4 linked regions of the Drosophila melanogaster genome follow. The protein of the gene in region 2 interacts with the protein of the main gene of each other region in a pairwise test. Each region holds a gene or a part of one and is shown on either strand. Other genes may lie near its edges.

The links.
Region 1: the proteins of PGAP5 (region 2) and CG5708 interact in a two-hybrid assay, tested with the Drosophila melanogaster proteins (one large-scale study listed by BioGRID).
Region 3: the proteins of PGAP5 (region 2) and CycK interact in a two-hybrid assay, tested with the Drosophila melanogaster proteins (one large-scale study listed by BioGRID).
Region 4: the proteins of PGAP5 (region 2) and Lip3 interact in a two-hybrid assay, tested with the Drosophila melanogaster proteins (one large-scale study listed by BioGRID).

The regions. Positions count from the first base shown.
Region 1 is NT_033779.5:10,222,580-10,229,744, forward strand, and holds CG5708 (uncharacterized protein), read right to left. Parts: upstream 4,230-7,165; 5' UTR 4,086-4,229; intron 3,387-4,085; 5' UTR 3,295-3,386; intron 3,233-3,294; 5' UTR 3,172-3,232; coding exon 2,925-3,171; intron 2,854-2,924; coding exon 2,700-2,853; intron 2,571-2,699; coding exon 2,379-2,570; intron 2,314-2,378; coding exon 2,181-2,313; 3' UTR 1,878-2,180; downstream 1-1,877. Other genes in the region: Bcs1 chaperone, read left to right, coding at 567-1,862; ova (ovaries absent), read right to left, coding at 5,282-6,547, 6,606-6,767, 6,835-7,032, 7,126-7,165.
Region 2 is NT_033779.5:8,196,877-8,203,485, forward strand, and holds PGAP5 (Post-GPI attachment to proteins 5), read left to right. Parts: upstream 1-2,076; 5' UTR 2,077-2,166; coding exon 2,167-2,585; intron 2,586-2,652; coding exon 2,653-3,157; intron 3,158-3,225; coding exon 3,226-3,404; coding exon of another isoform or gene 3,405-3,405; exon of another isoform or gene 3,406-3,469; coding exon 3,470-3,479; 3' UTR 3,480-3,776; downstream 3,777-6,609. Other genes in the region: CG8460 (uncharacterized protein), read left to right, coding at 417-689, 756-945, 1,003-1,206, 1,273-1,672, 1,737-1,878; SLC5A11 (Sodium/solute co-transporter-like 5A11), read right to left, coding at 4,009-4,084, 4,141-4,832, 4,886-5,299, 5,356-5,423, 5,482-5,533, 5,592-5,657, 6,211-6,370, 6,438-6,593. UniProt on the Drosophila melanogaster protein: Metallophosphoesterase.
Region 3 is NT_033779.5:22,121,888-22,132,300, reverse strand, and holds CycK (cyclin K), read left to right. Parts: upstream 1-2,158; 5' UTR 2,159-2,577; coding exon 2,578-3,780; 3' UTR 3,781-7,361; coding exon of another isoform or gene 7,362-7,519; 3' UTR 7,520-8,016; downstream 8,017-10,413. Other genes in the region: CG3651 (uncharacterized protein), read right to left, coding at 7,362-7,519, 8,085-8,211, 8,273-8,560, 8,620-10,050, 10,121-10,413.
Region 4 is NT_033777.3:13,368,215-13,374,917, forward strand, and holds Lip3 (lipase 3), read right to left. Parts: upstream 3,691-6,703; 5' UTR 3,533-3,690; coding exon 3,449-3,532; intron 3,295-3,448; coding exon 2,575-3,294; intron 2,498-2,574; coding exon 2,117-2,497; 3' UTR 2,063-2,116; downstream 1-2,062. Other genes in the region: Dic1 (dicarboxylate carrier 1), read left to right, coding at 38-479; CheA87a (chemosensory protein A 87a), read left to right, coding at 1,455-1,685, 1,742-2,062; CG34309 (uncharacterized protein), read left to right, coding at 4,450-4,544, 4,654-4,864; CG9813 (uncharacterized protein), read right to left, coding at 5,683-5,801, 5,865-5,994, 6,065-6,156, 6,233-6,566.

The sequences.
Region 1 (7,165 bases), 2.0 Mb from region 2:
TATTATTTATTTATAGTATTTATTAAATATTGGTTTTTCGATATAAGTTTTCCCAACTTATTTGCATTTTTCCGATTTCACAGTTCGGTCACACTGTTGGATTAAAAATATTTATCAATGCCGGTATTGAAACATTTCTACTATAAAAAAATGTTGATTGCTTTTAGTGAATGACAAGTTATCCTCTAAGATGGTTTTTATGCCAAATAAAATGTGCCACTTCAGCGGCAACTTGTATATTTATTTGCTCACACCTAAATTACAATTAATTACATAACGAGAGTGATGGCAAATGGTTGATTTAAATAATAAAATTACATGGTTTTCTCATGAGAAAATAAAATTGTTGGTGCCTTTGCTGAAGCGCACGTAAACAGTATATGTTAGACTTCAGTTTTATTTGTTTAAAAAGTTGCTTCGAAAAGATGTACCATTGTTTACAGGAGGAACCCATGTTTTGGATGATAGATTAAGCAACAGGTGTTGTTTTATAGGGTTTTATTGCCGAAAAAGAGTAAAACACTTTAATTAAACGTTGATCCTTGTTCTCGGTTTTTGCAGACAAGATGACTTTGCCCGATCTTGTAGCTGGACTTTCGTCAAATCCCTACTTTGGTGCCGGTTTTGGACTATTTGGTGTGGGCGCCGCTGCTGCCATATTGCGCAAGGGCCTCCAGGGCGGAGTGATACTGTTCCGGCGGCACTGCATGATTACCCTGGAGGTGCCGTGTCGGGACAAATCCTATCAGTGGCTGTTAAAATGGATTACGATCAGAGGAGCGCGAAAAACGCAACACTTGAGCGTGGAGACAAACTTTGTGCAGAACGACAATGGCACAATCAAAACCAGCTATGACTTCATACCCAGCATAGGCAAGCATCTGTTCCAGTACAAGGGCAATTGGATTCAGGTGGAGCGGACCAGGGAACAACAGACATTGGACCTTCACATGGGTGTTCCTTGGGAGACAGTGACGCTTACAGCGTTTGGTAACAATAAAGGTATATATTTCGATATCCTCGAAGAGGCTAGGCAGCTGGCTCTGGAGGCCACAGAGGGCAAAACCGTGCTGTACACAGCGATGGGTGCGGAATGGAGACCCTTCGGACATCCGCGCAGAAGGCGTCCCACTGGATCGGTGGTGCTGGATCGCGGAACTTCGCAGCGAATCATTGCCGACTGCCAGGACTTCATTAAGAGCTCTCTGTGGTATACGCAACGTGGAATCCCCTACCGAAGAGGCTACCTTCTGTACGGGCCACCTGGTTGTGGCAAGTCTAGCTTTATAACCGCCCTGGCGGGCGAACTGGAGTACAGTGTCTGCCTGCTAAACCTATCCGAAAGAGGCCTCACCGATGATCGACTCAATCATCTCCTGAATGTTGCGCCAGAGCAGAGTATCATTCTGCTGGAGGACATCGACGCAGCATTCGTCTCGCGCGAAGCTACTCCGCAGCAGAAATCCGCCTTTGACGGTCTCAACAGGATAACGTTCAGTGGACTCCTAAATTGCTTGGACGGTGTGGGCTCCACGGAGGCCAGAATTGTCTTCATGACAACAAACTACATTGACCGCCTCGATCCCGCCTTAGTTCGTCCTGGTAGAATCGATTTAAAGGAATACATTGGCTATTGTACGCAATATCAGTTGGAGGAGATGTTCAAGAACTTCTTCGCCAGCAGTGACACCACAAAAGCCGAGGAGTTCGGAAAACGAGTGAATTCCTTTGGACGCTCCGCTAGTCCGGCGCAAATTCAAGGCTTTTTCATGAAGCACAAACTGTCCTCGCCGCAAACTGTTATTGATTCTTGTGAAGATATCTGGGAAAATGTTTTAGATCATAATAAAAAGATTAATTGAATTGTTGTGGATTTTGTTTACTTGAAGCTCTTTAAGACAAGACTGATGTCCCTTTTGGGTCTTAATTAATTAAAACATCTATCAATTTTACTGTCATTCGATATTAGTTTATGTCATTGTTTTCGAATTTATTTCATTTTTCAATGATTTAAGATTATCCATTCGTTTTTATGCATAGTTGCACGTGTAATTCCCAATCGAACTCACCTAAATGAAGGTCTTGTTTTATATTATGATTTAATTACATTTTTATAGGTAATTTAAAAATATGAACTATGTTCTAAAATATATGTATATTTTATGTGACATTAAGTTTGATTAGTCCTTTGATCTTCTGGGCCTACCGACCTTTCCTTTCCTTTGTCCAAGCGTTCCATTCGAGTTGGCGGGGCCCTTAAGTAATTTGTGCCAATCTTGTTCACACACCAAGCTAGCTCCTAACATAGTATACCTGCAAAAAGAAAAAGCAATTCCATTTCAAATTCGCTCTTCACTGCAGTGTGTTGTTAGGCATACCTATCACCAGGACGCAGACTGGATCCACACTTAGCACAACTAAAGCACCTTAGATGAAATACGCAATTAATTATTTGTTTTTGTTGATTTTGTAAATCGATATTATTTATTCCAGTAAGTGCTTTCGCTACCAGTTCACTTGGCGGTATAGTTTCTCCGCAGCCAGAACAAACTCCGGAGCACCCGAACATGCTGGAAAATAAATGTGAACTTGAACACAAGGAACATAATCTAAAGAGTATCTAAATGGTTGACGCCATTAAGTAGGCAACATGTTTTTAAGGAAGCTGAAATAATCTTTTCAGTCGAATGCGTGCGTACCTGGAATAGTCCTTTTTGCAAAGAATCAGGCCTCGCCTCGTAAAACAGCTGGAACCCACTTCTGCTAGCATAGCTCCACAGCAGTGACATTTAAGGCAGCCATTGTGCCAGTATCTGTCCAAAGCGTATAAAAGATATCTATCACTTATTTTATCTGCAAGCGAAACAGAGAAAACGTGAGTTAAGTTATTGTAGCTCATAGATGAATCGATTCAAGGAACTTACCTCCACAACCACCACACACTTTAATAAGGGAGTTGGAATGAATTAACTGCTGATTATTGAAATCGTTTGAAGATTCGTCCATGAACGATAGCTGAGACGATGAGATATTCGAGTTGGTCTCCACAGTGTCCTTTGTGTGGTTTGAGTTTCTATAGTCAATTACTATGGGGGCGAAGTTCTCAGGACTAGATGAGTCTTGGTGATGTGCCGCTAGTATGTCTCTGTATGAATGGAACGTTGCATTCATTGCAAATAATGTTGATGACTTAAGTCGTAGAAGGCATATGGGTCCTGTTTATGGTTTAAACCTGAAAAGTACAGAAACATGTATTGATAGAGGGAAATGTGTTAAATATATTAATAAAATCACCTTTTAACATGTGCAAAAATGAAGCCTAGTCGTGGAACTCCATAATTGCCGTGTTTCTACCATAAACTCAACGCATAAACCACATAAAATATCTAAAATAGGTTTAAAATAATCAATTATTTTTTAAGGAGCAGTGGGCTTACAGATAAATGTTAAGCTTAGTAAGGAAAAATATAAATGCATCTCTTTTAGTACAATTACGCCGATTTTGAAAAAAAATTCAAACTACCATCCAGAATTTTCACTAGAAGGTAATAAAATATTTATTTTATCAATCGATGACAGAACGTGCTATTCACGCCATTTCTCGCCGATTGCGGATGCAAAAATAGCGACAGGCAATCAGCAAAATAAATGACTTTTGGATTTTCGAAAGCGATCCAATTTGAAATTATTTTTGAATCATTGCATTCTGCACAGCTGTCATTACATACAAATTGATTATATACGCACGTACGTACATATGTACATAAGTAAAACACCCAAATGACCATACATACATACACACACTCGCAGCGAACGCTTGCAATGTACGTACATATATGTGTGTATCAAACTGCGGTCTTACGCCGATAGATTAATCAATATTTAATGTTTGTAATTTGCACTGTTCATTACGGCGAACTAAAACTTCAAACTGGCAAACTTGACGTTTATGTACAGAAATACTGATTTGCTGTCAGTGGCACATTTGAGCGAAATTTTGTGTACATATATATGCTGGTATTTGTTTCACTTAATCACTCGACTAAACGGGGTTTTTGTAAACAATAAACACAATATTCACTTACACACTCATCAATTAATTATTTAAAAGCGAAAATTTCTTTGACAACACCATGAGGAACAGTAAAATCGCTTTGGTTTCAAACACCATTTCTTGTATACGACTTTACATACCAAACTAATTCATAGATATGAAAGCAAGCAATCCGCGATTATACAGGGTGCACCGTGTACACTTCCACATTTTAATCGGTCAATTCAGTTATTTGGCTGTATAATATCGCAGTCAGTGATGATGTCTTGGCTTTTTTCTATTTATATTGAGGTTGAATAAGATAAGCAATAAAATAAATTTTTATATTTACCTATGTATTTAAGTTAAAAGAATACCAAATTTATAAGACATTTATCCATCCATTTTATTCATTTTATATATGGATAATCGCTGTGATCACCGATATTTTTCTATTCCGGTGGAAAACATTTATATTTTCGTTTGCGACCGAGAAATTTCATATGATGATAAAATAAACATTTAAAATGTTGTCTTTCATATGTTTTGGCTTACATAAATTGGACTACTGTGGTATTCTTTGAAAGACGTTTTCAGTGAGAATGCATCGAGTGGAACAGTGTGGGAAAGAAACATCTGGGATGGTCTAAATTATATCAAATTCTTCATCCCATCGGAATGAATGGAAAATGCGATATAAAACTAGATATGCCAAACCAAAAGCAGCTGACGCGTACAGCTGAATCGCCTAAAATAGGCGGGGTGATGGTTAACTCTACAAAGGGCCAAGCCCACGTTGGGTTGAGGTACATACCGAAAAGACTGGTTCAAGTATCAATCATGGGATTAATGCTACTTTGTATTAACCCTGACGTCCCCTCTCTTTCTTTAATGACGTAATAAAATTATGATGTGACTCATAACCAAAAAAAATAAGCTTTTGAAGGTCATGTACTATTTACGTGTACTTTATGTCGATGCTTTCAAACAACCAGATCATCGATTAACGCTTCGAACTATGAAGAAAACGGATGGAAAATATGCTGATTACCATCTATACGTGGTAATAGAGATCCCAAAACAGTAGGGTTCCTCTACAGTATGTCTTTTCTTTAAAACGCAGAGAAAATGAATTTAGACATTATATATAAAAGTATTTAAACAAATTATTTATTCATATATGGTAATTCTTAGTTTAGGTTTTCTTGTAAAATAACAATTTCTTAACTTAACTATGGATTAAAATGTCTAAGAAGTTAAATCAATGGAAATTATACGCCCAGTGCCATTGAAAGGCGGAGCCGCGGAAATCGCATCAAACGTACTACTCTCAGTAGTCTGATTTGTAGTGCTTTTTTTCGAATTAGCCGAATGAGCGTACCAGTCTGTGAGTGCGACCAAGTTCTTAGAAAAATTGCAGTTTTCCTGATTGTATTCCTTTCTGTGTCCCTCAGAATCAGCAAAAGTATTCGATGTACTCAGGGAACCAACCAGTGAATGATTGGCTATCGAGTCTACGGTACAGCGACTAATTACTGAATTAGCCTTATAGTTTGAATAAATATATAAAGATTGCTGTAGGGGCTTAACCGAATTATCAACTATTACTGATTCTGGCTCTGGAGCACATTTACTTGGCTCGACGACGCGGCTACTGTACAAATTTCTGTTGTTATGTGTAAGTTTTATTACAGTCAGTGCATCCGAGCCAAGTCTTTTGGGCGAGCCTATTGCTGGCTCTTGTTGCTCATCGTCGTCCGAGGAGCATAAGTCAATTGTATCAACAACAACTTCCTTTGTGGGTGAAATTCTCCAGTGTGAGTTGAGCGAATTGTGGCGCGTTAGTCTTATATTGAGTTTTGTATTTGCAGTGTGATTTTGCTCTTCCATTACGTGTTCGGATATTTTTTTCAATCTGACTGATATTGGACGGCATTGTTTAATCAGCGGAGAGTTCAAAAACAAAAAGTTCTCAGTAGTGTCCCTGCGTTTAACAAATTGACGCCGCGGAAAGGAATATATGTGATAATTGTGTTCATGTGACTTTTTAAATGTACAATGCACTGTAGTGTTTGTTTTTTTTTCAAAATACTTTTGCTTGGTATTTGATTTATTGATCAATGGAGTGTAACAAAAGCGTTCCAGGCGTTCCTGTCTTTCCGCAATATAATCCATTGATATTGTTTGTTTTGTCGATTTTAACAATTGCTGTCCTGCAGGTGATGATATTGGGATAAACGAACACCTACTAAACGAATGAACTGTTCGATTTCTCCGCGATGGTAAACGCCTCTTTCTGTTTGATGTTTCCGTTGATGTTTCTTCGCTGAATGAATATGTTTTCTGTTTCTCTTTAGATAAACTATTATCGGAGAATTTGGGTTGCAGTTTAAAGTTTAAGAGAAAGGCGTTGCGCTGTTCGATATCTTCGTTTTTCCCATCACTTTTGTTATCTGGCTCAGGGGAATCACAAAGTATAACGTCATCCTCCATGCAACAAATGTTTTCGTGTTCCTGTTATGCAATAGAGTTATTAACTATTAACTTTGACAATCTTTGGCAATCAACTTACGAGTATAGCTTCTTTAGAATAAAGTTCGGCATCACAGTTGTCACATAGGTAGATATCAAAAGGTGGTGGCTCAACCATCATATGCTGTACGTTTTCGCTAATGGAACTGTTGTTCTTTTGCAGCAACAAGCACTTTCTGTTCTTTTGTTGTCTATCATATGACTGCAAAATAACCAATTCAGAATTAACTAATTTTAAAACCCAATTATTCAAAGTAGGCTTGGCTTACCATGTTTTCATTTCGAAATGTAACCAACAGTTTGTTGTTTCTCCTGTCATACAATGAAGTTGTTGAGTTATAATTGTTTATGAATCTTAAGCTCGCGTGTTCATACGCAGCTAAATCATTACAAAATCTTAATAGAAATAAGCTTTTGTGAAATTGATAGCATATAACCACAATTTCTTTCATTTTTTCCATCCAATTCTGTAAAATAGATACAGGTATATATTAGCCATTTATGGGGGTGAATGTTAAATATAAGCCATAGAAATCAAAAGGTAAGGGAAAAAAGCTTACCCCAACAAATGCTTTCGGCTTTTTGAGCGGAATCTCGAAA
Region 2 (6,609 bases):
AAAAAAGTCAAACGCTTCTAACAGCTGAGCAGCTTTTCATTGCGATCTGGCAATGCTCTAAGCTAAAATCGATTGTTGAAGACCAATCGTTAAAGGCAGAGCGGGTGATTTAAATCGGATGCGCAATTTAAGAAACATATTAAGTTCTCGTTATTGTTTGAAGTTGAAATAATTCGGTGATATAATTTTAAGCTTATAAATAATAAAATAAAATATATCAAATATAATGTTAAGTCAAGTCCAAGTAATAATTTCTGAAGCACACTGCTATTTACCAATTTAGGGTGACCATTTAGAGTGTCTGATGCCGTTTGCCGTTTAGTGTACGCTATGGTCACTTTGCTGCCGGCTTTTTTTTTGTATGCGATTTGTTTTTGTGCGATTTATGCTGTGGTCCTGATTGTCCTTCTGTCGAAATGCGTGCGCCTGATGCGCTCCTGCTCCGCGTCGCTCTCCTGCTTCTACTGCTGACCACCGTCCGCGGAACCCTCGCCCCGGACAGCCACAAATCGAAGAGCAAGACCAAGGAGAGTGCTCTGCGTGGCGGTCCGCAAGACCAAGATGTTTTCGATCTGGGCTTGGTTAGTCCCGAGCCCCTGGCCAAGGATATCGTGAGCAATCATCGCGGGTACTTCAAGGAGACGGGATTGCGACGCTTCAATGGCACCACCTTGGGCTATGTGACTCCAGTAAGCAGAGGACGTACTCCCACATTTTGTGCATGTGTATTAATCTATTGTTTGCTTTGCTTGTAGTGGAACTCGCATGGCTATGATGTGGCTAAGATATTTGCCAAGAAGTTCGACATTATCTCGCCGGTTTGGCTGCAGATTGTTAAGCAGGGAGATCGTTATGCCGTAGCCGGAACCCATGACATCGATGCGGGTTGGCTAACCGATGTCCGGAGAAAGGGTAAACAGGTGCACAATCAGCGAACGGTTAAAGGTATGAGAAAATGATACCCGCTGGCGTTAGTCTAAACTCACTTTCCTTGGATTTCAGTGTTTCCCCGTTTTATATTCGATCACTTCACTGATCGGGACATTAAGCTCTTGCTTAGCGACGCCCAGGAGAGGACGAAAGTCAACGACGTGCTGATCAAGTGCTGCAAGGATAATGGCTTCGATGGACTCGTCCTGGAGGTGTGGTCCCAGCTAGCTGGACGCATAGATGACAAAATTCTGTACACACTGGTTTTGCAAATGGGTGAGCTTAATGCGTTGTAACCCTTTGTTTGTTATTAATAATTTAAATTTCTTTTACGTCACTTAGCCAAAGAACTACAAAAGCAACAGCTGCGACTCATTTTGGTCATTCCTCCATTCCGCAAGGAAACAGGCCACCTTTTTGGAGAAAAGCACATGGACAAGCTGTTCAAGCACATATACGCCTTCTCTCTGATGACTTACGACTTCTCCAGCGTGCAGCGTCCCGGAGCAAATGCACCATTATATTTCGTCCGTAAGGCTGTGGAGACAATAGCTCCAGAAGGTTGCGCTGATATGACGGCTAAGAGGGCTAAAATTCTGTTGGGACTGAATATGTACGGGAATGATTACACGCCCGATGGAGGTGGACCCATCACCTTCTCCCAGTACTTGGATCTAGTCAGGCATGTGAAGAAGCACCTAACTTACGATGAGCGGGATGTGGAAAATTTCTTTGAAATCAAGTGAGTTTTCTACTGCAGCGTATGCAGAGTGTAAGGCGAAGATGATGAATATCATTACTTTCAGAAACGATGACGGTCGCCACATTGTCTTTTATCCCACTCTCTATTCCATAAACGAGCGAATAAAGCTCGCCCAGGAACTGGGCACTGGCATTTCAATCTGGGAACTTGGCCAAGGCCTAAACTATTTTTACGATCTCTTCTAGTTAGCCTGTAAGCAGCATGCAATGCACAATACCTATTCCAAATAAAGGAAATTATATATAAGCCATAATGCTTCATAATTTTTCCAATTTACAATTTTAGTAACCAACTTTGAAATGAGGCGCCAATTTGTTAGTCAACCGACAGCCGCTTGACAGCACTGTTTAATTTATCGAATATTTTAAATTTATATCGGGCCGTTTACTCGTTTAAAACGATACTATCGCTGATGGTTTTTCAGCTCTAGAATAAATTTGTTATTATTTTTTTAGCCGGTGAGAAATCCTGAAATGCGCTTTCTTTATGCCTGCTTTGTGATCGTGCTGTGCGCCCTGATCTTCTGCGAATATGTGGCGGACTTTGTGGTGCTGCAAAAGTGCAAGTGGCCGGAGATAAAGCGAAAGAAGTATGTGGACGATCCGCTTAGGGCAATGATTCTAGCGGATCCGCATCTGCTGGGACCGCATCGTGGTCACTGGCTGGACAAGCTCTACCGGGAGTGGCACATGACGCGGGCCTTTCAGGCGGCATCACGTCTGTTCCAGCCCGACGTGGTCTTCGTCTTGGGCGATTTGTTCGACGAGGGCGACATGGTCAGCGACAAGCAGTTCCAGGAATATGTGTGGCGCTACCTGAAGATGTTCCACCTACCACCGGGAATTCCGCTCATCAGTGTCGCGGGAAATCATGACGTGGGCTTCCATTACAAGTAAGTCAATAAGAGACTATGTGTATTCCCTGATATTTGTTAAACCGCGCTCTTGTGTGTTTTCCAGAATGCATCCCTTCTTTATGTCGCGTTTTGAGAGTTATCTGAACAACTCCTCGGTCAATTTGTACACCATTAAACAAATCCATTTTGTGGTGATAAATTCGATGGCTATGGAAGGTGATGGTTGCATGTTTTGCACCCAGGCCGAGGATCAGTTGAAAAACATTTCGAGGACTTTGTACTGCATGAAGTATCCACTAGAGGCGGAGTGCGCTCGCACCAGGCGGCACCCGTACAGCCAGCCAATTCTATTGCAGCACTTTCCCACCTACCGCATTTCGGATACCATGTGCGAGGAGCACGATGCTCCGTACATCGAGGCGTTCCGAGAGCGGTTTCATGTGCTCTCCAAGGATGCCACGGATATGCTGGGAGAGCTGCTTAAGCCAAGGCTGGCATTCGCCGGTCATTCACATCACTTCTGTCACAGTGTAAATCGACTGGGCATCGATGAGTACACGGTGGCCTCATTCAGCTGGCGAAACAAAGTTAATCCCAGCTTTATGCTGGTGAGTATTATATTTGCTCTTACGATTGTTAGCCCTTCGAACTTGTACTAACATGCCATAACTTTTAGGCCACTATAACCCCCGATGACTATGTGGTTTCCAAGTGCAAAATGCTGCCACAGCAGTTTGTCTTCAATAGCTATCTGAGTGCTGGCATTCTTTGCCTAATTGTCATCGGGTTCCAGCTACGAAAGTGCATCCAAAGCAGAAGACAGTCGTCGGCTGTAGATCATCGGAAGGTTAATTAGTATGTATAAGCATGCCTATACAAGGCATATCCTCTTTTGTGATTTACGCCTGATTGGGGCTTAGTTTAGACTAGATACGCCAGATTCCAGACTCAGATCCCAGATCCAGATCCAGACAGAGGTCATATCATTCCTGCTGCTTTGCAACCGCTTAACTATATTCTAGGTGTACAAAATTCGGATAGTATGTATGATCTATTTATTGAATTTATCACAGACATTATGCTTGTAAAGTCAAACGGAATACATAATGAGACACAGTCTGCTGACTACAAATCGAAAATGCCAAAAAAATAATGCTTGAACAAAGGCTGGAAAGTAAAGAACGGATACAAACAGAACAATTAAATAAAGCTATATTATAATACATTTACTATATAACGTTAATGATTGTGCACTCTGTATTCTGAGATGCAGATTCATAGGTTCCTGTACTTCGGTTTATGTCTTCCAATATCTGGATCACATTGTACTAGACTAGGCTATCTATAAGGTAACTACCACAAAGCAACTACAACTACAAACTATGCTAACAAAACAGGGTGTGGAATTCAATGCCATCAATTCCATTAGTTTGGCACAGGAAGTTCTGGTTCGTCTATTTTAGGATACGTTTAAGAGGTTTTTGTGCGCCTGCGCATGGAGATTGCGACCACTAAAGCATTCTTTTGGAAGGAATCTAGAAGAAAAAATGGGTTTAATAACAGAGGTTAAACATGTGGTTACAAAAATTACCTGTGAATCACTGGTGATATTAGATCCGGATCTAGTGTTTTCATATTTGTGGGTTTGGTCACAAGGGAGACTAGTGCACCTACCACAATGACTGTGGCCACACCAATGGGATTTATCCAGTGGTAGGACAGTCGGTACAGTGGAAAAACTTGCTCCTCATCTACCCATATATTTTCCCGAAGCGTTACATTGCCCACACATCCCTCCACGGATACGGGAAGCTTTTGAGAATTCAATTCACCCGCTGCGATGGTAAACTGCGTTCCAAAGGATATCCACCCGGCGAGCAGAGCACTTGCAATTCCGCCCACAGCAGTGCCTACAGTATTGGCCCAGGGAACGAGCATTCCCAGGGTAAACAGGCCAAAAGTGGTTCCAGCTGCGATGGCCGTCATTGAAGTGCAAATGCTCAGGATTCCACTCAGTTGTTCCAGGACAAATACCAGTGATAGGGCCACAAAGCCAAGAACTATAACAGTTGACTTTACCAGAATGGTGGAGGCTCTTTCACTTGGTTGCATCTTGAAGCAGCCGCGAACTATATCCTCCAGGATTACCAAGGACGTTGAGTTCAGAACCACAGAAAGGGAGCTCAAGGCAGCTCCAAATATGCCGGCTATAAACAAACCAGACATACCATAGATATGACCCACACTCTGAACGACAAAGAGCGGCAGTAGCTGATCGTCGTGCTGCAAGGAAATAAACGTAAGTAAAGTTCAAAAACAATTTATTATTTACTCACTGTTATTAGTCCCGCACTCAGAGGATCACAATCTTTGTACATCTCATAGATTAGCAGTCCCACATAACAACAAACAGAGACGAAGGCAGCCACGCCAATTGTAAAAATGGCCATGGAAGCACGAGCCTTCTTGAGCGATGGAAGAGACATGTATCGCTGGACCATGGTCTGGTTGACGGCATTGAATGAGGTCCAGTAGGAGAATCCCCCGATTAGGACGCTCCAAACAGTGTGCCTTACATAAGGCGATGGGTTTGTATTGTTAAAGATCAATCGGCCACCTTTGGCAGCATCATCGAAAAGGACATTCAAGCCATTTGCATAGACAGTGGCCAAAATAGCCACAGCAAGAACGGAAAGGAACATGACCAGCACCTGCCAAGCATCTGTGTGGACCACTGCTTTGATTCCTCCCTGAAAATAGGCGCCATTAGTATAAAAACATACGTATGAAACTCTCTAAAACTTACGACAAAGGTGTAGAAAACACACACGACCACAATTACCACTGCAATCACATGGAGATTAATGCCCGATACTGCAAGATTATCGAAAGATTAAAGTTGTGTTTCAAACAATTAACAAATGCGGCTTACCCTGATTCAGAGCTATAGCTGGTACATACACAATGAAAGGCAGAAACAGAATCTAAAATTGGATCGACAATTATTACAACATTGCAGTCCAAATATTATCTTTGACTTACCTCATCCAGAATAAACATAAAGGATGCAATACTTCGTACGACCGAATGAAAGCGCATCTCCAAGTACTGAAAGCAATATTATATTTCATAATTCAAATGACTTGCGTTTAGGATTCGAAAACTAACGTCATAAAGACCGAAAACGAAAACTAATTGCTCGACACAATTGTCAAGTGGCAGAAAACCACATTGCAATTAATCATATCGAACCGCTGGAACCCAGAAAAAAGTCGCAACAAGTGGGCGAGTGCAAAGTCCAAGAAATTCCACTTGAGGGGAGGGTGGTCTCCGATTCCCAGTTAATTAAAGTGTTCACTACGTCCTCCGTTCATTGATTGGACAAAAGTGACGGAGCGAAAGGGGGAAGACGGAAACATCTTAGAAAGTTTGTCATTCTTATCAGCAACCACTACAGATGAACTTGTCTATCTTTATTTTAACTAACTCGTCATTGAAAGAAATGGTGAGTATTTTATAGCTAAATTAATATTTCCGTTAAAACCCAATTTACATTTTTGGTTGCGTTCTGGACGTTATTACTTTTACTGTTAGCATAAGCTTATTGACCCATTAGATTGTAAATGTATAAATCAGTTTATAGAATTTACGAGTATCGTACCTCATAGGAAGAGCCTACTTGAAGAGCCGAGAACACTGGTATGTAGACGTAGGAGACGGCAATACCTTGGAGCATTATTGCTATGGCTATAAACCAATATTGCGTGCCATAATTGTAGATCTCAGAGGTTGTGCCCAGTATGGTAACGCCCGATATATAGCTGGAAATAAAAGGGAACAGATTGTACAGGCATATTTGGAGGTGCGGGATCGCATCGCCAACTCTACCTGGCTATCAGGCTCATGGCAACGGGGAAAACTTTCAGATTGCGTGACCCTAGCAGATACTCGCTCATCTTCTCCGATCCGAAATCGTGTTTCCGCCTTTTTGGCGTGGTCGTCGGCAGAGTGGGTTCCGCCTCCTCGAGCTTCACCTTGCTCTTCCTGTAATTACAACAAT
Region 3 (10,413 bases), about 14 Mb from region 2:
GACCCCGTTGCAACTCATGATCCTCCAAGTGGTACCCTGGGTACCGATTTCAAAATTTTAATCAAAAGCTAAAAGCAAAAAGATTTTTAATTTGACTGCTAAGTAACGGATATGTAATAGTCGGGCAACTTGATTATTGCGTCCTCTCTTGTTTTAATTTGATGTCGGACTATATTTAAATACCTAAAAGCGTAAAAATAACTACATATTAATGCACAAACAATAAAATTGAATGCATACTAACTTTTCTTATGCTTAAAATATTACAAATGTGTGTATATTATTAGTTTAAGTTTCAAATTAGTGAGTAAATGAATTTTTCACATTTCTTTATCTTTAAGTCATTTTTGAAAGGCAGGTGGTAATTGTGAGCCTGCACTAGTTTTAGGAGATAATAATTACGTGTTTATTTTAAACAAAATCGGAAGGTACTAGTCAGTAAGCATTAATTATTATTTTTTAAATAAGGCAAATATGTATATTTTAAAATATGAAATACATGTATGTATGTCCGTATAAATAAAACCGTGAAATCAAATGTCGATTAAGTCATTTGACATAGCCAAGCCAGGAAATTTGCGGCTGATCCAAAAATATCTACCTGAGTGTAGCATAGGTGGGATAAATTTGGGCAATACGACCAAGATCGTCATCGTTCTCCAATTGGGAATCCTTCCGTGTACGCCGAACTGGTAGGCTGGGCATCGCTTAGCTTCGAACCCAATTACGAATATAGCAAATTTATACGCGGTATTTGTAGCTTTCCCAGGATAACAACACAATCCGCATAGACGGAATCTGCGATCAGGGGTGATCAAACGTTAGAATTTGCACAACATTTGGGTTTGTTTACCTTTTTGAAGTTCGAGATCGTAATTGCTTGTCTTGTGAGACGTAGATAGTTTTCAACGTTGGGGGTACTCCGGCCTTGGTTGTTAACCGCAACCAAATACTTAGCATGCAATTGGCGCAGTCGAATGACGGAAATTCACATTCCCTAAGTGCTCGTTAAATAGAAGTTAAAATACTAGAATTGTATACATATACTGAATCACTTGGTGAAAGAAATATAAAATGTTTGTTATCACTGATAAATTTTAATATACATTTTTAAATTCAATCAAAGTCAATTCCATATTATCTGTACTTCATTAAAAAATATAATATTATTAAAACAATACGATCCCCACCGGCGTTGTATATTTTCACCGATTTTACGTGTTTCATTCATTCTTGAGTTTCCCCTGATACGTGTCTGCGTGCTGCTGGATGTTCTTTGAGTTTTGTAAAATTTTATTTAAGTCAATGATCACTTGAGCGGTAAGGTTTGAAAATATGTTCACTAGCCTAAGTGCATGATTCAAAGAAAAATATACATAACATTTTCTACGTTAAAAAGAAGCATCTCGACTGATTTGGTTGTTTCGCTCTATCAAGCTCACGTTTCGGTTTTCCATTATTATGTAATTTGAGTGATATATATCGATTTTTAAGAATTTAACACACATTATAGAAACATAAAAAATATAGAAACATAATAAAATTATAGTGCCATCACTCGCGTTTATATTAATAATAAAAGAAAGAATACTATAGTCGAGTTCCAAGGCTATCAAATAACCGTTACCAGCTAGTGTGAATACAAACGCGAAATTGCATCAATTTTATGGAATATCGATAGATAATGGGATATAAAATGATAAAAAATTTCAAAATTGTTCCAAAGTGTGGCATTAGGGCGTTAGAGTGCGCGTGGCAAAAATTTTATTGACAAATCGATAGAAATTAAAAAGACTAATTAAATTATAGTCAGATCGACTAGGATATTGGTCCTGATCAAGAATATATATACCTTAAATGGTCGGAATACGAAAATACGACTAACGGTTATAATAAATTCATCACCACATTACTAGAAGTAATTACTATTAAATAGAAAGCGCTTACACTGCTCATAATCTTGTTATTACATTTTATAATGTTTAACGAATGCTATCTATGCTTTAAATTGAAATACTTGTTATCCAGTAGGATTATACATAATGAATTATTTCAATATACCATTTAACAACAAAACAAATTGCGCAATTCCCATCACTAATCCCTATGCTTGGTTTGATATCTCCAAAACATGGAAATGCGATTCCAGTGTAAACATCCCATTTGTTCCTCGTAACAGTCAAAGGACGGCCAAAACCACGTGTAAATATATCTGTTTAATTATATCCCAAAATTAAGTCACCAAAACTAGCAAACGCACAAAAAATATTCAGTTTGACCCGCAAGAGATCGAAAATTTTTGCGTTATCTATTTACCAATAAAGTTGTTCCATATACTCAAAATCGTCGTGGTCTTGGTGTAAAAGGGGCTTCCAATAAAGTTTTTTTCTTCATCGTCGTAGACATGGTAACACTGCAAGTGAACATAAAAATCGAAAACTGATTTATTTACAATAAACAAAAGCGCTTATCGGCTCCAGGACGCGCATATGCTGACAACCATTTGGCTAAAGGTTTAACACAAATTCCTTCCAACGACGCGGACTACTGGTAGTACCCGCAGCCTAAATTGCCGCGATGCCGTGCTGGTATTACGACAAAAAGGAGCTGCGGGAGACGCCCTCGATCTTGGATGGAATAAGCTTCGAAACGGAGCGGCGGTACAGAAAAGAAGGTGCTCGATTTATTATGGAATGTGGCACCAAAATGGGCTTGGGCCACAACACGATGGCCACCGGCGTTGTATATTTTCACCGATTTTACATGTTTCATTCGTTCCGGAGTTTCCCCCGGTACGTGACTGCGTGCTGCTGCCTGTTCTTTGCTGGCAAGGTGGAGGAGACGCCAAAGAAGTGTCGCGACATTATTAAAACTGCGCGTGGCATCCTTACCGACAATTACTTCTACTCGTTTGGCGACGACCCTAAGGAGGAGGTGATGACGCTAGAGCGTATTCTGCTGCAGACCATCAAATTCGATTTGCAAGTAGAGCATCCTTACACCTTTCTCCTAAAGTACGCTAAGTGTTTCAAAGGCGACCAGCAGAAGCTGCAAAAGATGGTGCAAATGGCGTGGAACTTCGTCAACGACTCTCTCAGCACAGTAGTTTGTCTACAGTGGGAGCCGGAGATTATCGCCGTGGCTCTTATCCATTTGGCCAGCAAGCTAAGCAAATTCACTGTGCAAGACTGGGAGGGCCGCCAGCCACAGCAGCAGCGTTGGTGGGATATGTTTGTGTCTGATGTAACGATGGAAATACTCGAAGACATCTGCCACCAAGTTCTGGACCTGTACCAATCAACCCAAAAAGAAGCGCTCCAGCCAACCAGTCCGCCCCAAAAGCCACCAAGCAGAGCCGACAGTCCAAAATCCGGCAAGCTTACCAATTCTACGGGTATTGGACCACTTTCCGTTCCACAACAGCCGCCGCCCCCCGTATGTGGCAACGGTGGCGTGCTGGAAGTTAGCAACATTCAGAGCATTAAATCCCTAGCCAGTGGCGTGCCAATCATTGGTCCTAGCGACTCCCAGAACCTGTTACAGGGCCCAACACCACCAGGTCAGCCATCCGGGTACCACATTTATCATGCTCCTCCACCGCCGCCCCCGCCGGTAGTGCCTATGCCGCCGTACCCCTCTTCCGGATGGGGAGTCCAGCAGACAGTGGTCGGACACTATAGCGGGAGCGCTGCACCACCACCACCAATGCCGCCTAGCTTGCCTCCAGGAGCCAGTGGATACTACAACGCCGGTGGGCGTCCATCGCAGCAGCGCTACTAGTAGATGCAATGACTAATAAACAAGTAAAAAAAATTTGTATATTAAAACTAGCGAACCGTTCGGAATAGGATTTAGAGCGGGGATCTTCGTACGGTTCGGTTTTCTTTTTTGGTTACACTCTAGGCCCAATATTGTCCCGGGGTATTTATCAATGATTTTTATTCCCTTATTTTAAGTCCTTACCCTTTCACATGTACTTGTTAGCAGAATTTTGCTGAAATGATGTTTCCAAAACTGAATAAAACCAAATGAACTAGAAAAAAATATTTTGGACATTGGGGCACTAACAAAAATAGATTCTTATTAAAATTGGCGAAACGTTGAGACAAAGCGGAATTGGAGTAACGGCGAAGTTTATAACAGTGGAAGATAAACATGAGAAATATGTGAGAACAATTTTTCAAAAGTGTGGGCGTGGCAGTTTTGGGGGTTTTGTATGTAAAAGGAGGGGCGTGGCCAGTGTTTTTGGTATGCAGATAAAAATTGGCAAGTCAAACAATAAAACGAAGAAAAATCTAAAAATTTTTAAATAGTGTGGCGCTATGTGTCTCCGCAAACTGTATGCTTAATCTCAACCATCTAGCTTTTATAGTTCATGAGATCTCGACGTTCATACGGACAGACGGACAGTCGGAAAGTCAGATATGGCCAGATCGACTCGACTATTGATCCTGATCAAGAATATATATACTTTATATGGTCGGAAACGCTTCCTTCTGCCTGTTACATACATACTTACAACGAATCTTGCACCTTTTACTCTACGATTAATGGGTATAATAACTCTTTAGATGTTTGAATAATTTTTGGAATGATACATAGTGTGCGAAGATTGCTCGGCTATCAGAAACAACAGTGCAGTTTTGCAGTTTCCATGGACTTTATTCTTGCCCATGGTACACTTGGAATAATAACGACTGCCCAGGCTACCTCGATTCGTATGTTTATTATAAATATAATTATGTCGTAGGCCAACGGTTTCGTTTTCCAGGCTAAAGACGAAAATGTTCGAAAATAATATTATTGACTTTGTTCGATGTTCTTCAATTTAATTTAATTTTTAAATGGTGTTAAAAATAATTAATTTCCTTTTATCTTTCAAATTTTATAAAGTCGATTTCTCTGAAACCAGGCTCTTTGATGTGATACTTACCGCGCTCTGCTTTCGAAACATCAACTACTTTGTCTCAGTTCGTTGACTTGCTTCGTTACAAACGTCTCGATCTTTTCGCTAAAAGATCTAGCTGACTTTTAGTTCTCCCGCGCTCTAGGTCCAAGGACCTCTATTTCACCAAAGACACTATGATAATTTTAGTAATTTATAAATTAACTAAACAAAATAATTTTAGTTTGGTATTATTCTAGTGTTGCTTTACCGTAAGTTGGCTATATTTAGACCAGGTATTCGGATACTTCATTTTTATAACAATTGCAAATATAGTGGTAAAACACGAAAAAATTAACAAAATATTTTTGCGGTTATACATAAATTTTTCAATGCAGAAATAATTTCTCAGAAATAATAAAATATTATATAAATATCAATATGAAGAATATGAATAAGCTTTAGAGTATTACTTATTGCCGTTTTATCAAGGGCTAAATAACACATCTAAATAAATAGTGCAATAGGAAAAGGAAAGTTTTATATTATATATTAAGGTTTAAAGCTAGGGCATAATCTATTAGACTAAAATTTACATTGTGTTCTGATCACTACCCACTTATTGCCATATATGTTGCAGGAAAGGTCTTCCGTTGATGTTTTTCGCCAGAATGCTATGGTACTTCCAATGAAGCTGAGTTTTTGTCAAGGGATCTACACGTTTGTCGACCTTGTGAAAGACAAAAGCCAGTTCTGACTGGATTAAAAGTTTGCATTTGTTTGTGCTCTACTAGTATGCCTGGCATACAGTTCTGTACAGTTCAAGTCTTCAAGTCGTTATGATATAGGACCACCTCTGTCGAAGGGAATAAATTAAGATCGTACTTGTCAATACTCCAACTAATTTTATTGAGTAAATCTAACAGTACTTAAGAGTAAGAGTTAAGATTCACATAATATGCTTATGCCAACAGAATTGTGTAAGACAACAAATTTTGGGTAAGTGGTAATGCTATATAGCCAACTGGACAGAACATGTTTATGCCAGTAAGTCGTTCACGACCTGAAAAACGATAGTCCGTGTTGGACTAACACTTTTACCTGAAAAATAACATTCTCCTGGCCGTTGAAGTGTTAAATAAGTAATTAAAGAAGATTGAATTTTAAATTTAAAACAGCAGAAATTCTTGATTTGTTTTTTAGTAGCCGGCTTACTAACTATACGCGTGACTCGTATAGAGAGAGTATACTAGATTCGTTGTAAAGTAACAGTGACATTCATACGTGCTAGAAACTAACTTGTGAGTTTTAAAGCAACACAAAAATTTGGACCAGCAAGAAATATGTCGTTCTATACGCAGGGAACTCTTAGTAGAAACTTATCAGCTAATTCAATGTAGTTATAAACCGCTTGCAAGATCCCTTTCTTATAAAAAGCATAGAGTATAATAAAATTCTGATTGTCTTAATTCGAATGTAGAGCCTTTTTCCTGTCTTTGAGCTGGCCCACCAATCCGAGAAATATTTTTTCCAATATATGTGTGGTGTGTATCTCATACTGTTTTGTTTTCAGACATGTATATATATATAACGCTAAAGTAAGATTAAAAACGAAAGGCGGGTAACAACGAAGACGAAAGAAGAATTCAGGAAGATGATGATCAACTGAGATGAGTTGAGTTAGAAAATGTTTTTTATTATATTATTTTTATTTATATTATCCAAAAATCTGCAGTAGCAATTATGTTGCGTCACGGCCCTTGAACGACGTGCAGAACACAGCCAGCCTTATGAGAAAAGTTTAAGCACTTGGATTGCAGTCGTTAAAAATTCTTGCTGTCAAACAATTAAAAAACTGTGACCTTATGTTACCCTTGCTGGCCATGTTTGTTTTAAATAGGCTTCTGTGTCACAATTATTTCTAACGCATGGCGCTCACTCGCTAGCAAAACAATCTAATGCAAAATTCGAATAACAAAACAAGAGAGAATGCTATATATTTCCCTTATATGACCGGAAAACTATGTACCTGTTACATATGTTTCAACGACTCTAGTATACCTTTCTACTCTACAAGTAACGGGTATAATTACATATGTATATGTACATATGTACATACATACATATGTATTACGTATTCCGTAAACAAATATGCACATTACAATATAAGGCGTTGATAGGCGAGGCAGATACATATATTTGTATTGATACCTGTATATTATGGCCTACATAGAAAACATTTTTGAGCTTTAAACACCAACTAAACTTTGAGTTTCTTTATTTTCTTTTTTTTTTAGAGCGGAGAGACTTTTGAACCCGACTTAAGCGGTGGGTCACGGCCATGCGATCACCTGATTTAATATGGAAGATGACTTATTAAAAAAAATTAAACAATAAAACTGGGCTAAGCACTTCTAGAGAGATGATGTGTATCCGGCTTAATGTGAAAATAAATGAGTGGTTGTGCAAATACGTCCTAACATTTGCGGGTTAGAGTCAGTACCCCACTCATGTAATACTGCGGGATCATTAAATATTCGGGCAGGGTGCGTTTACAAAAGGAGGTTGACGACGATGCCTGTGCTTGTGTGGATGCTGCTACTGTTGCCTGACGCACGATGTGACCAACCTTTCCTGAAAAAAATAGAATGTTATTTTGTAAAAAAAAATAACAATTTAATACAATTTGAAATGACTTGTATTCTGCGTTAACCTTACAAAAATTGTTACGCCCACTGGCTAAGTAACGGAAATCTGAAATTTGAATAAATCGACTATAAGATTCTCTCGTCATTAATTGACTTCCCTAAAGTTCTTAGGGTAGCAATTATGTAGTCTCACGGACTAGCCTAATTAAGGTCAAATTGCTTCCCTCTTGCGTATATTGGCAAAATTTCATTAGTTTACAATTAAAGAAAAGAACTTGTTTAGTGTCTCTGTGTCAGGGGTAACAATACTTACTAATCCATATATATATATTTGTATATCTATCGATATTCCAGAAAAATTATGAAATTTCGCGATCGCATTTCTACTAGCTGAGTAACGGGTATCTTAAAATCGGCGAAGCCGACTATAGCGTTCTATTTTATGATTAGAAAACATTTTTCTTACTGAATATGTAAATATGTAATATATCAATACCGAGTAAAACTTTTATATACAAACTATGAAAAAACAACTCTATAGAACATCTTACCCATCACGTTTGCGCAATGAAAGCGGTCATCTAGTTGCTGAAGGAGGGAAAGATCTCGACAACGTGCCCAGGCATTAAGTATGTCCCTTACATTTATAGGCACCCATTCAGTTTTGTCTGCAGCTTTCTGTTTGAAAAATGTGTTGCATTAGTTTAAAAAAGTGTGTACAATATGTATTTGATTTTACCCCCTTAAATTGTACAATAAGCTGTTGGTGGGTCGCCATCTCGATCAACCGTTTGAGCTTGCGATGGTTTCCCTGCTGCTTTGAGGCCTGTATTAATAGCTGCTTGAGATTGACACTACTTTCCGTCCGTCGCCGCTTGGCCAATTGCTTGAAATAGCCATGAAGTAGCTCCCTGTCATAGGGTACGCGCAGTTTATCTAGCGCTTGCACTAGGTGCTCCTCGTCGCACGTCTTTCCTGTAGACAGACTTGCCACCAGTGGCTCAGTCAGATAGCCTTGATTGAGGAGCTATTCGCGAGAGCGGGTAAATTCATTATACACAATTATTATAGCATGCGTTTACATACCTGTAGACCGTTGAAACTATTATCACACGAAATAAACCTTTGGTTGCAGGGTGGACCCAAATTGGAACCAGAAACAATTCCGGTTGCTATTAAGCTGTGCCAGCCGGCGAACGGACCTCCATAGCAGTATACTGGGGACCCGCTTCGACAGCGAACCTGGTCCGACCGTGAGTAAAGCGAAATACTACTGCCCCGACTGCCAGCTGATCTACGACACTTAGGACATGTTCCCGGGTCTACGACTTTGCCTATGGTATTGGCCAAGAACTCCTTTTCTAGGCAGTCTAAGCAGTTCTCCTCGGTTATTCCCAAGTCAAATTGGCCCGTGCACGAAGAAGACGTGGTCAAAGCCCCAACAGTCGCAGGAGCCACCAGTATAGGAGGCACTTGATCTTGCTTTGACTTCGACCCTGACTGTTGCTGCTGACATGTTGTTGCCCGGAAATCAGTGCAGCTGTAGCAACGTTCATCAAAGCTAGCTGATGTATGAGAGCGCCGCGACTTATATGAGGAGCTTTTAGTCATCACAGACGAGGTGTGCAAAAAACGCTTTGGCTTAGCACCAGTCAGCTTAGGCTCTGGGTGTTCGCTGGGGACACTAGTGCTGCGCGAAAAATTTGAGCCTGTGTGCAATGTGTTGGGCAAGGAATGAGCCTGATAAGACTTCACTGACCGAAAGCTTCCGGAGGATTCAGCCTGCTTTTCCGAGCCAATAACTATTAGCTCATTTAAATCTATGTCCACGCCACTTCCACCAGCACCAACGTCTTTGATTTTATCTAAATTCAAGCTGATGCGCGCGAACTTCTTACTAAGGCGTAGCTTTTGCTGCTGCATTAGGTCCTCCTGCGGAAAATCATCTATGGGCGAGCTGTGCAGCTTTCCTTCCTGCGTAGAAGTAGTTCCGCCTATGCTGTTCATTTGGCTATAGTCGCGTTGCATTAACAACAAATTGGCCTGAGGCTGGATGGTCATATCGGTGGTTCCGCCAACAAGCTCCAACTCTGATGAGGGGTCTGGCTCAAAGTCCATTTCAAGAAACTCCGTCTCATCTTCGCCGTAAATGAGGCTATCGCCTCCCATAGCATTCACTGGTCCTCGGCCAAGGTCGAAGTGTTGCCCGCCAACCCTTCCCGTGGCGATGATATCCATGTTCATGTCAAAATCAGCCCCTTCACCACGGTAAGCGTAGACGCAGTCGTCGGAGTTGATAGATATCTCCTCCGCGTTCATGTCGTTGTCGTCCAGCAAAATTATATCGTCGCCGTAAATATTGTCACTGGCATAGCTCAGGTTTTCGGTTGAGTTGTTTATGGAAGTTCGGCTGGAATTATAGCCACAGGCGGCGGCTTCAAAGGATGAGAGGGCAGCTGCTGCTAGCCCGTAGCTTGCCACGTCCAGATCCAGTTCGCAGTAAGAAGGACTTTCCACCTTTTTAAAGGATAAACAGAACATAACATAATCAACATAATTTTTTGTGCTTAAAGCGGCAGTCACTTGCCTTATCACCATCCTCTGCGGCCATGGTCGCTGCAGGGCACTCCTCTGCCTTTGCCCCGCCACCACCCACGGCTCCCACGACCTGCTCGTCCACCGCTACGGCCTGCGCTGATGTTGTTGCTGCTCGTTTTTGATTTGTGCCCATTGTATTTACACCGGTCCCACAATTGACTTGGCTGACTAAGAGCTCCGGGCGTCGCTCTTCAGCCGCATCAGGACCGAGGTGTCGGTTCGCACTATAATTAACGATATTGTTATTGTTACTCAGATGCAAACGCCAGTTTAATTTATCTA
Region 4 (6,703 bases), on a different chromosome or scaffold from region 2:
TTTGAGGCTTTAAACTTACTGATTTTTTGTATTTCAGCTACAATAATGCCTTCGATGGACTGGTTAGGGTCTACCGCCAGGAGGGATTCAAGCGACTCTTTTCTGGAGCCACCGCAGCGACTGCCCGTGGAATCCTGATGACGATTGGCCAAATTGCATTTTACGACCAGACGAAGATCTACCTGCTGGCCACGCCTTATTTCCAAGACAACCTGGTTACGCACTTCACCGCCTCCCTGGTGGCCGGAACGATAGCCACCACTCTCACCCAACCGTTGGATGTGCTGAAGACGCGGTCCATGAACGCGAAACCCGGCGAGTTCAATGGCCTGTGGGACATCGTGAAGCACACGGCGAAACTGGGTCCCCTCGGCTTCTTTAAGGGCTATGTGCCGGCATTTGTGCGTCTGGGTCCACACACGATCATCACCTTTGTGTTCCTGGAGCAATTGCGTCTCAAGTTTGGCACCTTGAATTAGCCGCGATGCCAATCGATACCTTAACTAGGCAATAATTCTCCTTGGCTGGCTGGCAGATTCCCTTGAGCAATGCAACATTCCAGCAGCAATTCGTTCACCGTGTAGAACATAACTTAGCTTTAGCCCGTTCCAGTTGTTAACCAAGATGCTTTTATGCTAGCAAAATATTTGTTGTTAAGCGTTCAATGCCCGCTATCCCGAAATATATACTTTTTAATAAAATACAGAAATGTATTCATTTACCGTGAATATTAATGCTTAAATAGTGTCGATTTTTTCGCAATTTGCTTGTTTAAAGTAAACATAATATCTTTCCACTGCGTATAACAATATGTATATTTGTACTGGATTTTGAACAAACTTTAAGCTAAGAGCAATTAAACAGAAGGTAGACCATTAAATATATTCTGTGCTAATTGGTGTGGGCATAGAAGGTAAAGGTTGACTCTATCGTACTCCATCGTCATTGTCGTGCTGTTACTAATTATAAATATTTTGTTAACAATGGCTAAGCATTTGTTTGTTGTTGCTTTATGTGTAAAATCGGCCATTCAATAAATAAATAAAAAAAAGGACAAACGGTTTCTACGAAATGTAAATAGTCTTTGTTTTTCTATAAACAAATAAATTAAAATTAATAATGTTATCCCAAGACGTAAGAAGGATTAAAATAAGGTGCTCAGAATTTAAAACAGCTCGATTTTTTTTTTAAATCAGTTAAAAGAAAATGAAGGGTAATAATTATTTCATAGGTGTACCGTCCTTAAAGTGAATTCAATCGTATATTTCGTGATGTTGGCAATTAAATATAACTGTGCAATAGCTTAATAAAACAAAGGGATCGCGTTTTGATATCAATGAACCATTTCTGGGAATAACCGAAACAAGTTCGTTTCCGGTACAAGCGATCATCTATCTAAATCCTTATATACCAATGACAACGAATGATCAGCCATCAGTCGTCAAAGTATCGTAATGGGCTCCTCTTTATGTCCCGTCTCTTATCTGGCGGTCTTGGCAATTATCGTCCTAACCAGTAATATTACAGTCCAGGCTAAAAGGACATTCAGGATCCAGAAATTAGAAAAGGTGACTGAGGATACCTCATATCTGCGCAGTCGTCTGCGTATCGCTGAGTCCGAGGAAAATGAGTTGAAAGTCAGCGGATATCTCGATCTGAATCAACGACTCGACAATGATTGGACGGTACGTAGTTTATAATATATAGTGGAGGAATTAATTATTTATTATTCCTTCAACAGGTTGTGCTTAAGGTTTCAAGATCCCCGGATAGCGATGGAGACTACGAGAAGGTTTTGACATTCGAAATGCAGCTTTGCGACTTTATGAAGAGCTACTACAAGGATATCTTTTACGAACGGATCAAGGAATACTCGAATGCCCCGCATCCCAGCAGCTGTCCTCTGCCCAAGGAACGCTATGTACTAGAGGACTATCCCTTCAATGTCAAGTTGCTCAAAAAGCTGATGAGTCCGGGCTTCTATCGCATAAAGTATACCCTCAAGAATGAAGAGACTAAAATATTATCGTACGTTCTGGATTTGGAGTTGGAGGAGAACTAATCAATCTCGAAATTTGCTAGCTCAAATGCTCCGTTTATTGCCTGAAAAATAAATCTATTCGTAGGATTGCATCTGCTTCAAGACCTCGTCGTAGACGTATTTTCTGGCCTCAGTGCCCCAAATGAAATCCAGATGGGCCCACTTCTCGAACGGCACCAGGTAGTCCAGCGCCATGTTGGGCAGTTCGTCTCTCAACTTGCGGACATCGCTCACATCGCACATCCAGTCATTGGCTCCGTAGTACAATAGAACCGGGGCCTTGGCATTCTTTAGCTTGTAATCCGGAGGGAAGTAGCTGCCGTACTCATAGGGATTACGGAGAGCGGTGTAGTCGAATTTACGGAACTTTCCAGAGTTATATTCCTGACAAAAGTGCAAGTTCTGGTTCACCGATGCGCCAGCCGGAGACGTGGCCTTGATGTGCTCAAGGAGTTCCTGACCAAATGGAGAGCAGCATTATAAGTTACATGGAAATATAATTTATAGGACCAAGTTCATTTCCAGATACTTACGTAGTCCAGCTGTTCGGTATCATAGCCTCCAATCAGGAAGATCTCGTTGGCGCACATGTCGGCATAAGGAGAAGTGGCCTGGCACATCTCTATGCCCAAATCCTGCTTGAACTTATTGCTGGGCATGAACTCCATGGATCCGCAGACCTCCACGATGGCATTGGGCTGGCCCAAAATGGGTGCAAAGGCGCGGGTCAAGGGGCTCTTCATGTTGCCCATATAGGCGGCTGGTCCCAGAAGATGGGCGGACTTGATCTTGTCATTGTACTCGGGTCTCTCCGACACCATCACCAGATAGACAGTGGTACCCTGGGAGTGGCCCACATATTGCACCTGCTGCTGTCCAGTCTTTGCCAAGACATAATCAATCATCGCCGGAACGTCGTACATGCCGATCTCGTTCCAGCTGAAGTTCCAGAAGATCTGCCAGTAAGTGGGCCAGTACTTGTGCGCCTTGGAGTAGGTGTTGCCTCGGGCATTGCCCATCCACACATCGTAGCCGGCATCGGCCAGCATATAGGCCAGGGATCGCTCTGGACCCATGAGCACCCAATCGGAGGAAGAACTCAGCATGCCGTGCATGAGGAAGGCCACCGGTCGGTTGGAAGATTCACCCGTTTTGGGGGAATACGGGATGCGGTGCATAGTCAGGATGTAGTTGTCACTGGTGACCACCTCGTGGCGCTCCATCGGGTAGCCATCGTCTTCAATGCGCTCACCCTACAAAACAATTAAATGTATGCTTATTTTTAATTAATTTTAATTTGTAAATAAAAAGCAATTAAATGGTTTCACTCTGTCAAAAGAAAAACCAAATAATAAATAACAAATATGTAATATTAAATTGTTTTCAAACTCTTAAATTTTTACTTACGCAATCAGAAATAGGCCGAGATCCGGCCAAAACCAGGCCCAATCCGACCAGTAAAATGGTCACTTTTAACGCTCCTCTTGTCATCGCAGTACTATGATCCGTGTGGTTCGGGATCACAGCTTTTATAGCCCCTTGACCACTATCTATCCATTGATAGTCACAAACAATCAGATTTATTGGCAAACGCGTACGAAGACCCCCAAGAAATCAGTTAAATATATATGAGAGTTAGATACACCTGGCCTAATCAGCTTCTTGTTTAGATTGAAATCGCGGGTCTCAAATTTACAATCTAAAGAAACCCAAACACCCCGCCAAAACGACGGATTTTCTTATCGATTTTCAATTATTTTGGTACCCCTTACTTTAAAAAGTCAAGCATATAAAATTTCCATTTATTTCAAGACATTTGCCTTTTAAGAGACCTTTTATTATATCACCAATGGAAATTTATAAAAAAAAAAAATTATACTAAAACATTAATAACAATAGGCTACCCTTAAATTCGGGCACATTAAAAATTGAGAAGAGGGTATTCTGCAGCTCGATCTTTTTAATAAGGCATATAATTTTTATTATTATTTGCAAATACGTAATTCGTTGAAGATAATTGTTAAATATAGAAAATCCGATTGCAAATGAAAACAATAAAATGCCTGAATCACGCCAGCAACATGTTGCTAGTGTCGTCGGCAACATGCAGCACTTATGCAGCAGCAACATGTGCGCACATTAATCCTTATGCGGCCCAGTTAGCACTTTAGCCCGACTTTGTAGCCTGGTCATCAAAATCAGGGCTTGTGTGATATCGATTTATAGAGGCCACACATGATTGGTCTGCCGATGGTGTATAATACACGTATCTCCCGAGCCGGCTGCCCCTGACGACGTGACCATAACATTGGCATTCTTGGCCCGAAGGCATATTACCATATCGCACTTATGACAGTTCAAGCCATAATTCAGTCTAGAGTGGAGCTCATTTTCAAAGGATTTCCAAAATGAAACACCAACAAGTTACGGTGGACTATTGGACCATGTTTAAGACATCGGGATTGTGTCTTTTACTGGCCATTTGCGGATTTGTACTTCTTAAGTAAGGACATTTACTAAACTATTCAATACTCAATACTTAATGCGCAATGTACAAATTTGTAATGTGATCATAATACCTGGCACCTTATAGTACCAATTATTTCTTATAGAATGGTGCAGACCATTTTCTGGCTACCTGGACATCTGAAGAAGAACCAGCAGCGCCTGGAGGATCTGGCCAAAATCTATGCCAAGGATATTAGCGAGGAAGAGAGGGACGAGATCGAGAAACTGTTCAACAGTAAGGAGCCGCTGACTGAAGAACGAATCAACCAGTTGCTCGACAAGCCAGAGACTTCAGAGCCAAAAAAGGAGCAATAGTTAAATAAATTGATTCGCATGTTTTATATATATATATATATATTTATGTATATTGAGTGTATAATCGATAATTTGTTGATACAGGTTCTAGTTCTTACTTGCATATCGTATATGTAACTCGCAACACAATCAATCGTTTAACCAATCCATCAATAATGCCTGTAACGCTCAATTATTCAGGGAGGGGGACAACAAATAGAATAATAACTATTCACGAAAGTCGCTCGTCTGTGGAGCGGTTACAAGTTATATCCATATTAGCTACTGATATAGGCGGACTCAGAGCCCTTTCCTGCTTCAAATCGGTCGTTTCTGGTGGCCCATCGATTTTGCCAGCGACCTCGACATCTCAACCTCGGAATGTATCTAACTAACAAACTCATATCAAATATAAGCAAGTGCGCCAATTCGTATGCATATCGACATATGGACATATGGACATATACATATAGATAGTCTATATTAATTTTAAAAGCTCAAAGGGGCGCAAGTCTCTCTCATCAGTTGTGTCTTTAGTTTTTTTGATTTGGTTTGGTGATACCTGCATCTGCCGCCGACTCCACCTGACCACAAAATATCACTTGAGTATCTTTTGCTATATTACACGTAGGCTAATCCGTAAACGAAGGTGAAAGGTGCCAATCGATCGGATGAACTTAATTAGGTCGAGTTGGATCGAAGATCCGAGAGAGCGCCTCCCCAGAGTAGCGCCGATCAGTGGGTATATGCTTGCCATTTAGCTGATGCGAATTATGCGGGTTAACATATATATATTTATAGGGGTTTCTATTAATCTGAGATGGCCGCCCAATGTGTCTTTATTGGCTAGGGGCGTGTATTGGAAGCCTGTAAAATGGGTTGGCCAGATTAACCCGCGCCGCCGGCAGAAACTCCGGATGTTCGGTCAGGGTGTCCGACAATGCGCTCAGCAAAACTCCTGGAAAAATTAAAAAATACAAATGAATTTTACGCCTTTTCATAGGTAATACTGGTTACTTACTTAAAACCTTCTTTTGCAAGTCGATGGGTATGACACCCATGTTACCCTCGCGCTCTAGAAATTCCGTAAGCTTCTGCAGCTCCATTTGGGCCTCATCGGAGCCATGCGAAAGCGATTGAGCAAACATTACCTGGGCACAACAAAAAAAAAACAGCAATTATTTAATATTTAAGTTTGTGTGTTATTAATCACTGTTATACCTTTGCCAGTTTGTAAAGGATCTCCTCCAGGGAGTATTCATTGTACAAGTACTCGACAATCTTGGCCCGACCCTCATCATAGTCATTCAAATCTGTTAGTGGAACAACATGTTGGTTAAGATATGTTTCTATCTCTATATAAGATTTGGTATATGATCCTAATCCCACCTTGCTGTGCCTCGCTGTCCAAAACTTTGAGTTTGTTCCAGAAGGTGAAGCTATCGAAGCTCTTCGCGGGCAGGACTCCTGCGGCGCCTCGCTCGATTCCTGATTCCGAACCGGATTCGTGCACTGCTGGGAATGGCTTTTCTGTGGTTGTGGTGGTGCTTGTTGTCGTCGTGGTCGTAGTGGATGCTGGGGGCGTGGTAATGGCGGGACTGTGGCGCTTTAACTGATTCTGGCGAACCTCTTCGGGGAAAATTCGATTGGCATAGGACCGCTGCAAGAACTCTATTCCCAGCCGAATGTCCTGCAGGAACTTCAGGGCGCTCTCCCGAGTGATCTACAAAAAAGTATTGATGTGAGTGCATTTCTTTGTCTTATTAAGTTGAATCTTTAGAGCTATAAAATATTGTTTAAATAGTTTGATAAGCGCCAAAGATTTTATAGCTGTGCAGTTATTTTTAAAATAATATATTT